2 linked regions of the Rhinolophus ferrumequinum genome follow. The protein of the gene in region 1 purifies or fractionates together with the protein of each later gene. This does not show direct contact. Links are inferred from orthologs where the notes say so. Each region holds a gene or a part of one and is shown on either strand. Other genes may lie near its edges.

What was found. The genes of interacting proteins can lie anywhere in the genome.
Region 2: the proteins of FOXJ1 (region 1) and RFX3 purify together in Homo sapiens (affinity purification with mass spectrometry; 3 studies listed by BioGRID and IntAct, counting the BioPlex papers as one, with this or other methods). This does not show direct contact. The link is inferred for Rhinolophus ferrumequinum from reciprocal best matches to the Homo sapiens genes FOXJ1 and RFX3.

What each region holds. Positions count from the first base shown.
Region 1 is NC_046304.1:50,902,492-50,910,465, forward strand, and holds the start of FOXJ1 (forkhead box protein J1), read right to left. Parts: upstream 3,364-7,974; 5' UTR 3,193-3,363; intron 2,631-3,192; 5' UTR 2,463-2,630; coding exon 1,965-2,462; intron 206-1,964; coding exon 1-205. Other genes in the region: E3 ubiquitin ligase RNF157, read right to left, coding at 7,020-7,141. UniProt on the Homo sapiens protein: Transcription factor specifically required for the formation of motile cilia. Acts by activating transcription of genes that mediate assembly of motile cilia, such as CFAP157.
Region 2 is NC_046295.1:32,635,104-32,643,273, reverse strand, and holds the start of RFX3 (transcription factor RFX3), read right to left. Parts: upstream 3,143-8,170; 5' UTR 2,929-3,142; intron 1-2,928. UniProt on the Homo sapiens protein: Transcription factor required for ciliogenesis and islet cell differentiation during endocrine pancreas development. Essential for the differentiation of nodal monocilia and left-right asymmetry specification during embryogenesis.

The sequences.
Region 1 (7,974 bases):
CCGTGCTGGGCTCCTGCACGGCCTGGCGGGCAAAGGCCGGGTGGATGTGGACTGGGGCCAGCCGCCGCTTCTTAAAAGCCCCGCTAAGCAGGCGCTCGGCGTACTGGGGGTCGATGCGCCAGAAGCCCCCTTTGCCCGGCTCGTCCTTCTCCCGAGGTACTTTGATGAAGCACTTGTTCAGGGACAGGTTGTGGCGGATGGAATTCTGGGCACAGGGAGAGAGAAGAGACAGAAGACAGTTGGGTGAGTGGGAAGGAAGGGTTGGTGACGGGTGGCTGCTAATGCTCCTGCATGTCCTCCTACCATCTACTCTCTGACAGGGGAGGGGGGACAGAGGCGCTGCTCTGACTGGGAGGCTCTGGGACACCAGCCACAGGGCACCCGGAGCCAGGAGTGCTGTCGGGCGCTTTTGTTCCCTGTTGCTGGGATATCTGCCTGCTCAATCATCCGAGCCCTGAGCTGCAGGGTGGCTCTCAGTGCCACCCTATCCTGCCCGCCCTCCCTTACCCCACCGCTTGCGGCCTCTGGCCAAGGGCCTCAGCTCCCCCAGGGCCTGGACAGCCATCTCCCTCCACCGGGGCCTGGCTGGCCCTCTCTGTGGAGTACCATGAGGGTACGCTTGAGGTGGTTTCCAGGCAAAGCTGCGGTGAGGGGCACTGGGCGACCGAGGTTGTGTGCGTGTGTGTGTGTGTACATGCACACCTGTGCAGGCACACGCGAGTGTGTGGAGGGATGAAATGTGGTGGGATCTGATGACATCCCTTGTTTGTTAAGCGGACTGCTGGCCTGGGCCCTCACCCCCCACGACCCCCTCCTCCCACCTCAGGCTGTGAGGCCTCAGTTGATTGTTACACAGCAAAGAGCATAAGTGCTCATTCCTGGGGCCCACTTCCGCAGCCTGAACTTCCAAGGCTTGGGGTTGGGTGGGGGTCTCTGATTTCTCACTGAGGCTACATATGGGACTACCTCAGAGTCTGGGCCCAAGCGAGTGTAGAAGAGCTTGAGACTGTGATCTTGCGGCCTGCTGCCTGTGGGTGCCCCAGAAGAGTCTGGGTATCCCTGGGGCCTCTGTCCCCAACTAGCCCCTGATCCCAATGGTTGAAGACTCTCAGGGCAATATCTGCCCCGCCTCAAATCACCATCCTGCCTTGTTCATTCCTAGGTGCATAGTCTTATCCAAACCATGCTGGAGACAGCAGTCTGGGGGCTGGGCAGCAGGGTGGATGAGTGGGTAGTGACCCTGCCAAGGCTGGGATGTTTACATGGTGGCCTGGCCCCTTGGCTGCTCTGCGCCAGGTTCCGGAGACTCGGAATATGAAGCCAGTGCAGGAGGCAGAGCCCCAGTGGAAAGCACCTGGCTCAGGTAATTGTTCCCCCAGGGAGGGTGACTGAGAAGAGGGGAAGGAGTGGGGGCAGGAAACTGGGGAGGGGCTGGAGTGGGGGGCTGGGATAGCTGTTTTAGGAAGGCCCTGTTCCCCCTCCACTGGAACACATCTGGCCTTCACACCTCCTGCATTCCCCAGCAAGCCAACTGCGTGCAGAGCTTGGCAGGGGGCGATGCTCCAGCTTCCGTTTCTGAGTCAGGTCATGACAAACTGTCCTTGGGCAACGCAGTGTCTAGGAATCCTAGCACTTGGGACGAAAATGTGTCCCTCAGTCTATCACCCTCACCTAGGGGACTGTGTCCATGCATAGTCTGGCTCTGGTCCTTGGGCTGAGCCTCCTGGATGAGCGAACCTCAGCGTTTGCATCCCTAAAGCCCTCTGAACACCCACCCTCCTTCTTCTCTAAAGTCAAATGAGGGGCAGTTCCAAGCACTGGGCTCCTACGGCCTTCCTCCCTTGGGGCCCTGGCTGGGCTGCACCTACTAGGCTGAGGATCTGGGATGTGAGTCCAGTAAGGGCAAGAGTGGAGAGGGAGGAAGAGAGTGGGAAGCGAGCGACCACAAGCCGCACCTCCCCTACCTGCCAGGTTGGATCTGCATGGCGGAAGTAGCAGAAGTTGTCCGTGATCCATTTATAGATGGCGGACAGGGTGATCTTGGTGGCCTTGCTGGCCTGCATGGCCATGCAGATGAGCGTGGCATATGAGTAGGGCGGCTTCACATGAGGGTTGGTGGCGTAGTCCACGTCGTCTGGGGGCGGGGCCTGCAGTCCCGGGGGCGAGCTCCGAGACGTGCACGACGACGTGGGCTTGCCTGGCGTGTGCGGCTGCCCCAGGCAGGCGGGATCCGCCGCGAGGGGGGACCCAGGCGCCGCAGAGCCTGGAACCTGGTGGTAGCCGTGGGGGTCGGTACCCCCCGGGGGCAGGGTAGGGGCCTTGGCGTTGAGAATGGAGAATTCCTGCAGCCACTGCAGGCTGGTCAGGCTGTCATCCAGGGTGTCGGGCTCCTCCAGGCCGCCCTCCGGCCCGGCATCCTCCGCCGTCCCCGCTCCAGAGAGGCGTAGCCAGCTCTCCGCCATGTCTGCGGGGACTCTCCGAGGGGGCGGTCAACATCCAAGGGCTGAGCCAAGGGTGGCCGCCGTGCTCTCTGGCCCTCTGACTTCTGCAGCTCCAGTTACACAGCCTCCTGGACGCGCGCTTCCGTCCCGCGACCCGGGGGTGGCCTCTTCGGAATAGGAATGTGGGGCCTGCGGGGACCACAGCGGGAGTGAGCACTCTTCCCCCACCCCCCGAGAGCGGGGTGTGTGCGAGGAGGAAGGCTCCTCTAAAATCGTCCCCGCAGCCTGGAGGATCTTGTAGTGTGGAGGTCTGGGAAACAGAAGCAGAGCCCTGGGGTCCGACCCCCCGGGTCCACCTCGCTCGCAATTTTCCTTTTTGAGGTTGGAGAGGAGACTTTAGTAGCCAAATGAGGGAAGAGGACAGCGGCATCCAAGGCTATCCCCTTCTCCCCAAGAGCGGGAAATCAGACACCCCTACCCTGCAACAAATGCTAATGGGGCAAGGGAACCAAAGAGGGCAATACGACGGGGCGGGGAACTGGGGAGGTCGTCTGATCTTTGAAAAGGGATATTAGGATGGAAGATCACGGAGAAGGAAGGGAACAGGACAGAGTTATGGGAACGGGAAGTGAGTTACCCCAAACTCCTCAGATGTCAGTCGCCGGGCCCACCACTTCCGTCGGGGACCGATAGGAGAGCCGGCTGGTACTGACGTCCCTCCCTGCGTCCCGCAGCCCTCCCGGTCCCTTACCTGGCTCAGAGCGCAGCCCAGGCCAAAGGAAGGTTCTGGAAGAAGTTCTTCCCAACCCTGTGGCTTTCTGCCCCCAGCTCCAGGGCCCCGGTAGCGCCGCTCGTCGCCCCCCAGCCCGACGGCGCTTCTCTGAGCGCCAGCGGCCCCGGGACCGGCATTAAGTAGCCGCTCCAAAGGCTTCTCCTGTTGCCATGACGACACCCCGCCCCTATAAACAGCTTTCGCTGCTGCCATTGGTTAGCAGTATCCAAGGAGACCGCGGGCTCTTGCCTCTCTATCTGGCGGTAACTCTCTTGGAACTCCCTCCTTCTGCTGCCCTCTCCCGCGCCACCCAGCCCCCTACCCGCCACCGCGACTTGGGCTCCGCGCATTCCCGCCCAAGGGAATGGAGAAGCGCGCAGGGCTCGGAGAAGCGCGCGGCTCGGCGCTCTGGTGGAGACCCGCGCACCCCGGCGAGCCGTTTGCCCCGGGAACCGTACTCCCGCCCCGACCCTTCCTGTCCCAGCTGCTCCGAGGCATCGACGGCTCCAGGGACGCAGCCCCGGGAGCGGGAGCCAAGGCTGGGAGCGGGCTCAGACTTGGGAACCGTGTGCTGGGGGTTTCATTTCCTCTCCTCTGGGCTGCGAGTGACACTCCCTCACGTTTCCGCGGCCTGTCCCTCCCTCGCGATCCGGAGTATCGGCTCTGCTGTCCGCGGCAGGTCTGACTCTCCGATGCCACCTGCCGCTCAGGGCCGCAGAAATGGCAGACACACCAAGGCGGGTAGGGTAATCCATTTTCCCGGTAAGCGGCTTCCTCCCCACCCCTGACATTCCAGAAACTTCTGCGGCAGTGTTCTCCCTCCTTTCCAGATAGCTTAGGAAGTAGAGCCGGTGAGTCAAACTCAGAAAAGCCATGGACTTGCCAAAATCTCATAGCGGGGTCATTTACCCCATTAATTTCCCCAACCTTTAAGTGACAGCGACTAAGGGTGGAGTCACTCCGGGACTGTGGCCCTTCCTCCTCCCTTTTCCGGGCCTCCCTCCTGTCACCAGCTTCTCTGCTTTTCAATTATTGAGGAGCTGCAATGTTGGAAGTTCTCGGGTTTACAGGAGAGGGTGGGGGTGAGAGCTCCTTACTCAGGCGTCTGCCCGGCCCTGGAGGGCTGGGGTGGGAAGCCTGTGCACAGGGGATGGTACAGCAACTCCTACCCAGGGGCATGTCCTTCCTACCCCTTGCCCTCTTCCACTCCTCCACTTCCAGATTGTCTAGAGTAAAAGTATGAAAGAGTGCTGGAGAAAGTCGGATAGAAACTTTTCACAAATAGGCCAATTGTGCAGTTAACAGCTCTCCTTCCTGTGTAAACAGTTTTATTCATTTTTAGGAATCATGCAGCAATCCATAAATATTGCATCCTCGATGTCCCCACTGTAGTGTGCCCATGAGTGTAACTCCAGGGAGTGAGAGGGGTACACAGATGGCACAACAGTACACACACACACTTGCACACACCAGGTGTGCAAATCCTAAAGCAAAGTGACCAACAAGCGTGCCGAGATCAGGCGGACAGGACACTAACTCTCCCCGGGTGAGACGGCTTAAAGTGTGTAGGTCTGTGCCCAGGAGGTGTCCCAGCGTGGGCATGAGCTCTGGTGGGATGGAACTGGGTAGGGAAGGAAGAAAGGCTCTGAGGAGGCCTGGATCGCCACACCATCCGGACGCACCGTCTCCAGATGATGGATGGGCCAGTAGGGTTGGCAGCTGCCCTGTTCCCTGATCAGGCTGACTGGGGACCAGCCCCTTTGGGTGGGATATTCTGCTTGCCAAAGATTTAAATGAGAACAAGAGGAGTGAGAGGGAAGAAAGGAAGTGTCTGAGAAACTAGGAGTGAAGGGCCCTTCTAATGCAGATATGGCAAGGCCTGGAGGAAGCTTTCTGAGCCTCTTCCTGGGAGAGGACAAAGACCCTCCAGAACAGGTGAAGATAACGACTTCCTCTTGCGGTTCCTGGCCACTGTGGCTACTGTTTACCTGCATCTCCTTCATCTCAGGTAACACCACACTGTGGATACTACCTGCTGGGAGAGGAGGTGGGTCTGTGTGCCACCACCCTAGGCTAAGGGGAGCTCCAGCTTCAAGGAATCGGGGAGTGGGGTTATTGCTCAGATCTTAAATAGGAAAGGTGGGAGAAAGAAAGGTCATGAAGTTGGGCCTGAACCAGCAGGGTCCACTGCAGGATTTCAGACAGGGTGGGTGTGGGAACTCAAGACAGAAGCTTAGAGTCTGGCATGGCTCATATTACATCTGTCAGAACAAGTCACCTCCCCTCCCCCGCCCCATACCAGGGCAGGATGTGAGCCACAACCCGTGAGGGTCACCGCGTACCTGACAGTGCACAGAAGCCACACAGAACGTGCAGTGGATCCCCTGGGCACTGGCTCTCTGAGGCCCTTGAAATGGCCCCGAGAAGCTCTTCTAGGGTGACAATTCCAAATACTAAGACAGGCCATCAGGAAGAACAGAGCCACATCTCAGCCTTACATATTGTTGTACCTAGTTTTGCTTCCCAATGCTGTGCTGTTCACTAAAGCACAAAGCAAGAGCAGTGTGGATACCATAACACAATTGTTGAGAGCGGAGTACCACCCTGCAGCTTGCGGTCCAGGCTCGCTGTTGCAGCCACCTCACTGGGCTGGGGTGGGCACGAGATGTGAACAATAGCTCTAAATGTCTAATGAGCCTGTGGAAGGCAGTACCTCCCCCTCCCCTATCAAGCTCAGGAGAACTGGAAGGCAGGGGAGGAGAACGTGGGGGTGGGGAGCTCCCAGAGGTGAAGGCCCTGGCTCCCAGCCCCCTGCTGGCCGGCTCCACACTTTCCACCATTTCTGTTGGGGCTCCTGGGCTCCAATGGGAGGATCACTGGCCCACCCTTCCCTCAGCCCATTTCTTCAACTATTAACAAAAAGGGGTGGAGACGGGGAAATAGGGATACGAATGCCACCTGACAGGGCCGTAGTGATGAAATGTGATAATATATGACAACTCCTAACAGTGCCTGGCGCATACAGGTCGTCAGAAAGTGTGTTTTTTGAAATGTCACCTTAGGATGGAGTGCCAGTCCTTCACGAATGCACCTGATGCTAAGAAACCCTCCCGAGGGTAACTGTTTAATGGGGGGATTCTCAGGTTCAAGACCTCCTTCCTAAGCACACAGACACACAAGGCACAGGAGACTAGCTCGGCTGCCAGAAGGAAGAACTGTCTTTTCAACCAACCTTTTGTTTGCCACCATGTCCCTTGTCCTTCGGAAAGGAGCTTTTTGAGGGAATCTCTACTTACAGTGCAATATGGCTTTCCCTTCTCACAGGAGTCATCCCCCAACCCCACCCCAAATTGGAGGTTTCAAATTGGTTAAGATGTCCCAGAAACCAGAAAATGCCAGATGGGCGTCTGTGGTGAAGCTGCTAAAACTCCAAGTCGTCTTGTTCTAACCCCTAAGGAGGAGAAAGATGCACTATCAGCCTGTGGACCTGGGTGTCACCTGAACGAAGACCAAGCAATATGGTGGGAAAATTCCACAGCATCTCTGCAAAGGGTCTCATGAGGCGCAGTTCATCGATGGCTTCCGCCCACAAGCAGAAAGGAGGCTTCCGGTCCCTTCTGAGGGGAGGGATCACGGTTATGGCAGGAGATGAGGCTGGGAGGAGCAGGCTGACCTCAGTGTCCGGCTTTCCCACGGTATCCAAGTCTCCATGTGTCTTGCTGAGCATGCCCAGGAGGCCAGCGGTCCAGTGAGGCCAGGATGGACCACGGGGTCAGGCAGGCAGCCCTGTGACAGGGGTGGGGCTCTCAGACGGCCAAAGGACCCCACACGCAGGGCCTGTTCTCTGCGTCCTCCAGACTGCTGGATGATAAGCGCCGGCGCTGTGTGTTGTGATGGCTGACTACGTTGTCATCTGCTTGCCAGGTACCTGGAGGAGAGAAAGGAAGGTTATAGGAGGCAGACCTTTGGCCAGGTCCAGATGGTGTCTCCAGCAGGGCAGCCCAGGAGCTCGGCACAGACGTAGCAGGATGCGTGTTACCTGAAACTTGTGTGCACATGCCGGCCACATTGTGTGAGAGTACGGGCAGAAGTAGGCGCCACCAGGTGCAGGGGGCTGCTCCTGCCCCACCGGGCTAGGTAGGCATGGCCACTGTGGCCCACTGACAGAGGGACACGCAGGAGGTTCCTTGTTTTGTGAACGTGCCCTAGGATCCACTTTTGTATTTCATTTGTTTTGAACTTGGGCCATATGTTATGGCGGACAAGGAAAAAGAAAGGGGGTCTAGCTGAGATCTTCCTCAGGGCAGGAAGAAGTGGAGGGGACGCAGAAGAGTGTGTTCATTTGGGCCCAGAGTGTTAGCGTTCTTTGTTCGCTGGAGGTTGGGGGGCCGGAAGTGACTGGCTGCCCAGCAGGGTGCCAGGGACCCAGTGGCATTGGGGGAGGACAGGGCGATGAGGGTTCCAGCACCCCTTCCCCCACACCTGTTGCTCTTCATCTCTTTCTGACCCGAGCAGCAGCCTAGCAGCCGCTGAGGTTTGCTATCAGCTGGTGCCATCAACCCCAGGAGACATTAGCCCCAGAGCCTTAGGGTCCCACAGGTATCACCTACTAAACTCATCATCTCCCCCAGCCTGCCTTCTTGCACGTGGAGCACCGGCTGCTGTGGTGCAAAACCCTTTCTTCTCTCTCCTTCGTGCTCTGTACCCAGTCCATCGCTGCCCCGCTGTGCACTCCCCAGTTACGTCTCAATTAGTCATCAG
Region 2 (8,170 bases), on another chromosome or scaffold:
GTATATTAAAATTATAAATTATAAACATTTTATTTGAGTATCTAAGTAGAGTACAAGACTATTAGAATACTGGAGGAATAATATATTAGTTTTGAAATTAGGTATAACTACCCCATATAATGAAAAATTATGGAATGATGCATTTTAGAAATACATTTTAGTTTACTATATTACACACATAAATATACTACAAAAATATGCTGATACCGGTTAATTCAATTCACAGGCAAAATAATCTAAAAGACTGAGATAGTCGTTATGACAATACAACGAATCACAGATATTCAGCTACTAAAAACAAGCCACAAGTGACTCCTATTTAACAGTTTTAGTTTTAAAGAGTGGTCATTCACTTTCAGAGATTTCTATTAGTCTAAAAAGTGAGAACAAAAAAAAAAAAAAGTGAGAACACAGAAGAATAGCAATACACAATATACTCCCTTACAGGAAAAATATCACAGAAAGAATAAACGAAGTGCTAACTATTTACCCTTCTGTTAAACTTAAAAAATTGTAATTTGCTAATATTTCTGGTTATTTTCTCAATCCATATGATTGATATTGACATACTTGAGCCCAAAGCATCTCTAACAGCAACTTTTATATCACCTATATGCTTTTAAAAAAGGATAATAGAATTCAAATTAAGTTCTGCTTTCAAATCAACTTGTGAATGAACGTCTAAATTATTGAATCTGAGGTCATTTTCATGAGTGAAATGCCTCAAAAAAGTTCTTGGACACTGCAAATAAAAATATTAAACCATAACATTATAGCATATAATCTATTCAGCTGAAAACCCATTATGTAAATGGCATAAGGTCTGAAACTGTCTCAAGACAGCAAAACTCCTATTAACTTCAGAGAGAGTTTATAGGACTCAGGAGCTTCACCATCCAAAAGAGTTCAGGCATTTGACACTTATCTGAACAGAAGAAAAAAAAAATAACAAGTTAGTATTAGAGATTTGCATGGAAGCCAAGTTGGGGAGGGGGTGAATATAAAGGAATTCGGATGCTCTGAGAAAGACTTCTTTCAGAACTATCATCCTCATTTAAAATAGCAATCACAAGAAAATGTATTGAAAAAGGGAGAGTTAATAAAGAAAAAACAAAAACAAAACACAACTCTTATTTTACAAAGTATTGGCCTTAATAGTATTCCAATTACCCAACCTACTCTTTGACAATCTCAAGAATAATTAATACTGTTACATTATTCACAGTGCTCTGTCAGGTAAATCAATATGTTTACTGTTAGAAAGAAGATTATTTAAATAAGTATTTTAAAATTCCAAATTGGAAACTTCAGTATGTGCAAATATAATACTATATTTGTTTTAGCACACATTCATTATCAAAACTCTTTACTGATAATAATCTATTAATTAAACGTTAGGCAGAAAAATGAACACATTTACAGGATCTGGAAAACTGCGTTACCTCTCACCAACAGCCATACTACTTGAGGACTGATAAGTATTCAAATGTACAGAGAAAAAAATAGATTTTTTTTAAAAAGAGACTTAAAAAGGAGAAAGTTCTCTCCTCTCACCATGTTTAAGTCACTGCCCAAAGAAAACCAAAAATAAAGAAGAGTATGTTAAGTACACACATGCCTAGATCTTAACAACCATAAAGAAAGTGAAATATACACACGTTTCAAGTTGAGAAGCTTCATACATTCTTTATGAACAACTTGACTTCAATTTCAACTCTCAAAGAAAAGCGAACAGAGAAAAAGATGGAGAAAAAAAAAAACTCTTTAAAGTACCATAACTGTCACAAATAACACTGTAAACTGAGTTCTCACAAAGCTTCCTCATGTCCTTTCCCTGTTTATCACACACAAAGTCTTACAACCACAATGAAAATTGTTAACACTCCACTGTGGGGAAGGAGGTTCATCAAAGTGAAATGGAACCTCACTACTACCCCTCCCATCTCCTCATGAAGGATAAAGCACTGTCAATAACTACTAACCCAAGTATCACTGATGCCCTGCATCCGGTTTAAATCACAAGCGCGCGCGCACACGCGCACGCACACACACACACACACACACACACACACCCCAAAAAAAGAGAGGAGAGAGACTTTAAAAAAAAATCTTTTCCAGTACAGCGGAGTCCAGCGTAGAGGCCCCAGGTTTCAGTGTGCAAGGGGTGTGGGGGGAGAAGAAAGGGTGGGGGGAGAGTGCTGAATGGATATTAAGACTGTTTGCAGCACAAAGAAAACAGTTTTAAAAGAAAAAAGAAATCCGTGCAGCTGATGATGGTAAAAAAAAAAAAAAAAAAAAAAGGCAGCCCATTTAGCACAAGGCAAAAATAAAGGGAATAGGCGGTGGGAAAAGTTCACCGTTGTACGAGGATAAAAATAACAAAACCCTTAACAAGGCCCCACAAGTGAACAACAACAACAAAACACCACCTCTTGGGTACCCCCCCGCCCGGCACATTGTTGTCTATTTCGGTTTTGAAAGAAGCAGGAAACAAGCAGCTTTGAAAAAGAATTAAATTAAAGAAAAAAACCCTTCTCTCTTCACCTGACTCTCTTCTTCAGATCAGACCAAGGGGAGAGCTCCACCATCCGCAACGGAAAACTGTGGCTCCCTCTCCCGCTCATCTCGCAGCCCCCAGAGCTCCCGCTCCATCCCTGAAGCGCGGCCGCAGAGGGCCCGGGCCGGCCGGCGGGCGGGCTGCGCGGCGCCCACACCCCCGACCCAGCCGCGGCGCGCACGGTCCATTGTAAACAAGCCCGGGGGACGGAGCCCCTCGGCTGCGGCGCCGCAGCGGCAGCCCCCGGTGTCAGGAGTGAGACCCCAGCACAGCCACAGTCGGCTCGCACACACGGACACACACGCACGGACACACGCGTTCACACGCATCCACACGCTCCCACACACATGTAGAGACCGAAGAATATTCACCTTGGCTGTGGATTATTGTGGTGTTGTTGGTGGGTGATGGAGATGGTGGTGGTGGGGAGGAGGAGGAGGAAGAGGAGGAGGAGGAGGAGGAGAGGAGTAGTTGTTGTTGATGGGTAACAGTCGCCAGGACTACGGTGACTATGGCGCTTGATTCACAAGGCAACGGTTGCTATAACTCACAAAAGAGAGAGAGAGGGAGAGAGAGAGCGAAAGGGAGAGGGAGACACTCGCAAGGGGAGGGGTGGGGGAGGGAAAAGGGGAGGAGGCGGGCCCCGAGAGTCGCCGGAAGGGGCGGGCTCAGCACCATGACTGACAACCCCAGATCCCGGGCTGGTGGGGGCACAAGGCCGGGGTTCCGAGTAAGGCCTCCGAATAGAAGCTCACGGGTTTGGCAGGAGTTAGGGTCACCCCAGTTCTCTCAAAGGTACGCTATTACCCGCGCTGGCCAGGTTGGACGGGGAGTTGAGGGGCGTGGTGCGAGGGGTACGTTTTGTGAACCGAGAGCTGCCAGTCCCAGCAGCCAGCGTTTAGCAAAGGAGCCCCCGAGTCGCGAGAAGGTAATGGCTAACCCACGGAAGGAAGGTGGTGGGGTCGATTCCAAACACTTCTCTGGGCAGACCAGCAACAGCTGGGGAAGGGCCCACTTTCAAGTGCGCCCTCCGCCCCTTTGCTAAAGTGTCACTTCCGGGGCGGGGCTATCGGATGGTCCCGGATGTGCCGCCGCTTTTATTTATTTTTTTTCCCTTTTTCTTTTTTTCCTTTTTTTTTTTTTTTTAATCCCCCTTCGTTTCTCAGGCTACGGCGGTGTTCCTAGTTGTATCCGCCTTATAGCATGCCTTGGCCCGTTAGGGCTCCGTAGCCTGCGCTGCACTGGAGGGTCCGAGCCGTTTTCGCCCTCCTGCTTTCTGCGCCCTGGCCCGCTCCCGCCTCCTGAGGCCAAAATTCCGGGGAGAGCGGGCGGCGAGGCGTGAGCGAGCGGCCATCGTCGCCATCTTAGAGCAGATGAGCCGCGCGTGTGGGCAGCGCGCCGGCCTCCCGCGGTCCCGCCGCTGCGTGGCGCGCAGAGAGAAAGGTCTGAACTCATCCAGCCCTCATTCCAGAAGGAAAAGCGAGGTTATCACTCCGTACCTATGGGGCGGGGAGTAAGTGCTAGAAAGCAGCGAAAAACTGCCCTGCCGGGACGATGTGGAAACGCGTGGCGGTCCACCTCCGCGAAAGGCGTTGAGGGGTGCGGTAACTTACACCTTCCGAGGTAGCACCCAGTTAGTTTCTAGTTCCGCGCTATCTTCAGCCCTTAAGTAAAGTGCTCGTCCCTCTTTAAAGTTGACCGAACCGGGATTTGAGCTCAACCCCCGATTCTATTGCTTTCCTGGCCCTATGCCCCGGTTACTTGACAACCTGCTGTATTGAGACAGACGAACAGGCTTCCTTCTGTAGTGGATGTTGTTACCACACTACTGGCCATCTCGAACCGCTGCCCTTGGTATTGCACAGCCTCTGATACTTAACGGTTCAAATATAGTCGTCCAGTTCTCTGCAGACAGGACTCCTGCAGGCACATGCCCCCAGGCCCAGCCAGTACCCCAAACCTCCAACACAGGCAGCTAAGCTGCTTATCCAAGACAATAACCTTAGAAGTAGAGCCATAGGAAGTCCGTCCTATTCTTGAGGCTTAATTTTTGCACCTGCAAAATAAGGGGTTTGGGCCTACATAAATTCACAGTGCTAAAATAATAATAGCGACCATTACTAAGGTCTTAACACTGCCGCAGTGTTTTACATACATTATCTCATTTAATCCTCAACACTATTAGGTACATAATATTTTAGAGAACACAGGCACAGTCTTAAAAGTCAGTGATTTTCTCTTAGGGCTCTGTGTCATGGGATATTAGGGAAGGGTAGTTTGGAATCCACTATTAATAGATTTAAAAAAGTGATGTTGCCTTTGGTAATCTTATAATGAGTTATAGAGGTTCTTATAATGTGTTACAATGTAATAGTGAACAGTGGTGAGCACAGTGCTAAAGCTGAAAGGTTGCATGACTCACCACGGTACTAGTAGCCCTTCTAGTCTGAGACAAATGATAATGTGACCAACAGCAGTTCAATTCTTCAAATTTAGAATAAAAATTGCAACATACACATGGGAAATAAGGTATGCATTCCAGCTGTATGAAAACTGGTAGTCATTATGAATATTCGTTTTATTATATTCCTATAATGGTGTACGAAACTGTTTGCTCACACTACACAGCTCAGAATAGCTTTGCTTTTTTAGTGCTATTGTCTGTTGTGGTTAGCCTGCCCCTTCCCTCACTGTCAGCTGTTGCTTCTTAACTGCTGTCAGTGAACAGTTCTGTTAGCCTCCCCACCCTTTTAATTTGCTGCTTTTAATCTACAGGCAAGAAAACCACATAATGAAGCTTGAGCAAAACTGTCTCAAGAGTATAAACAGGTACTTTGAGGAACTCTCCTTTAGAAAAAGTTTGCAACCTTTGTGCAAGGACATTATAATATCAGTTTTAAGCTGCTTAGAGACTTTTTTAACCTACTTTCTGATTTGGCTTTTTCCTTAGGAATAAATTTCCTTAAGTAAGTTATTTAAAAGTTCAGATTTAGAACTTCTAACCAGAGTGAGATTAATATGAATTTTTCAATGTTACTACCACACTGAATCAAATAAGCCACCAGTTCAAGCTATAGATTCAAAAACATGTTGGATTATATATATATGCATGTATTGTTTTCTGCTATATAAATAGTTATGAAAGGACCTAGAAATCTGTTTGCCTATAGTCAGTTCTGATTGGATCTCCTTTTTCGTCATTTTTAAGCTGTATAGTTGCATCTTCATATATGTTGTGTATATATTTCAGAAATAAATTATTTGTTAAGTCACAGAAAAGAGCATTGTCTAACATTTATTATCTGTTATAGTGCATTACACACTGGGCTCAATGATAAAAGGTATCTAACCAAAAAGTATCTTAACAGTTCTTGACAAATTCGATAAACTGTTAATGCAGTAATTATTTGTTGAGTACCTAAAATGGACCAGACATAGTTCCTGTCTGTGAAATGCTCAAAGTCAGTATCTATGAATTTAAAATGTTATGTCCTTTGAACTTGGATTGTTTTTGCTCTCAGCTCAGAGATATTAGACAGTTAACAGATTTGTATCTGAATCATTTGAAAAATACAAAGCCCTGATTATTTAGGTATAGATTATATACTTTATAAATTAGTACATTCTCATGGGGAAGTTTCCTTTTCAATATTATCTATTAGGTTATTTTCTCCTGTTGATATCTACCGAATATTCAAGGACTGACATTAATGCTTGTAGAAGGAAAAGCTGCCTATGAAAAGATAAAATACTGATATGTGATGGTTCACTTCCAAAAAATTGTATGTATGAGAGTTTTGAAAATTAATGTATTGGTCTGTGGCAGCTTACCACTGAATTTGTGGGGAATCCTTATTATAAAGCAGAAGTCACATCTACTTAAAAATTGTATACTTCATTATAATACCCAATTTTCTTAAATTAAGAGACACCTAGAGTTTTAGTTCTCGTGAAATGAATGGTTTCATTTCAACCATTTATTGACTACTTAAGATATGCAGAGCACTGGGGAATTAGACTACTGGATTATTAAATGCCGTAGATCTGAAATTCTGTGGATATATGATAATTGTCAATAATAATAGGGAGTGATAGAGGCCAAGGCAATTCAAACTATACATAATTTGCCACTCTTCTCTGGAGCACCCCCAACTTTACCCATACCCACCCAAAGTATATTTTGGTTTTGAAAACATTATAGGTTTTGTTTTCTTTGTTTTTTTTCGTAGATTTGTCTTTCTAATTGTGTTTTATTTAAGTAATACAAACCAAGTATTTACTCAGCATTCCTAAGTATGTCCATCCTTATATATAACTTGGAATTATTTTTTTACCCCAGCACAGAAAGATGATAAGTAATAGGTAGTAAGATTATCCTTGATAAATTTTCAAATATGTGTCAAGTGTGACCATACGGTAGGTAATGTTGATTTGCTGCTCAAAGAAATGAGTCCTGCTACTTTCTAATCCTGAATACATCTAGAAACTAAAGAAATTGCTTTGAGTGAACTCTAGATGATTATCGAGAATAACTTTCTTCTGAGATAACATTAGGAGTACTTGAGAGATTTTGGTGCTAACTCTGACCAGGTTGAGAAAGTTATGTAAACTCTCTAACAGTTAAGATTGGAGGTGGAAGGAAATATTTATAAATTAAGAATTAAAAGACTTGAATGATCTCAATTCTACAATTGTAATTTTCATGAATTTTCAGAGATGGCACATCAGTGAATTGTTTCAAAATGCTAAACATGCGTTTATGTAATACGTCTGTGAAATTAGGAGGTTTTTTTTTGGTGGAGGAAATACTAATATAAATAAAGTTAATAGATACTTCTACCAGCATTTCATTTCTTAAGAATTTTGTGAACCCCAAGTAGACTTTTACCAGGCAATGAACTTGAACTCTATTAGAGGTTAACTCTTATAATTTAATCAGCAATTAATGTCAATATGTGCTGAAAAGCTTTTTATTTTTATTCAATTAATATCAAAAATATTTATCAAAAATGATTTTATTTGAGCCATAGTCTTCAACTGCCAAAGAAATTCTTAAGTTGACTCTCTCTTTAATTTTTTTCCCCTTTAATGTACAGTCTGGAAAAAACATCTCCTAAGTTCCTGTCGGGCCATTATTCCTATTTTAAACATATTAAAAGTATATTCCCCCTGGAATACATACATCTTATCCTCCCTCCCCCCACCATCACAATACATTATTAAGCCTACATTTAAATTTTTTTTGACTAATATGCCATTGTTAAAGCATATAACTGAATTTTTTTTACCCTTCTAAATATTTTTATCAACTACTAATATAAAGAAAAAATAAAAATCATTGATTCAAATTCCATAAATTTGTCTCTTCTGATGCCTTTTTTTGTTTGTTGTGTAAAGTGAGAATTTATGTGCATGGAATATCTTTCCAAAAATTTTGTGGTTTTTTTGCTTAATAACTTATTTTTAGGGACAAGAAACACAAAAATATACCTTGTACAGTGGAATGTTTAAAAAATTTGTCTCCAAGTGCTGTGAAATTTTACTGAGTGCTTTCTTTGATAAAAGAGATTAAAGTCAGTTTTAAAACTTGCACAGATCTGGCTTAATGTGAAA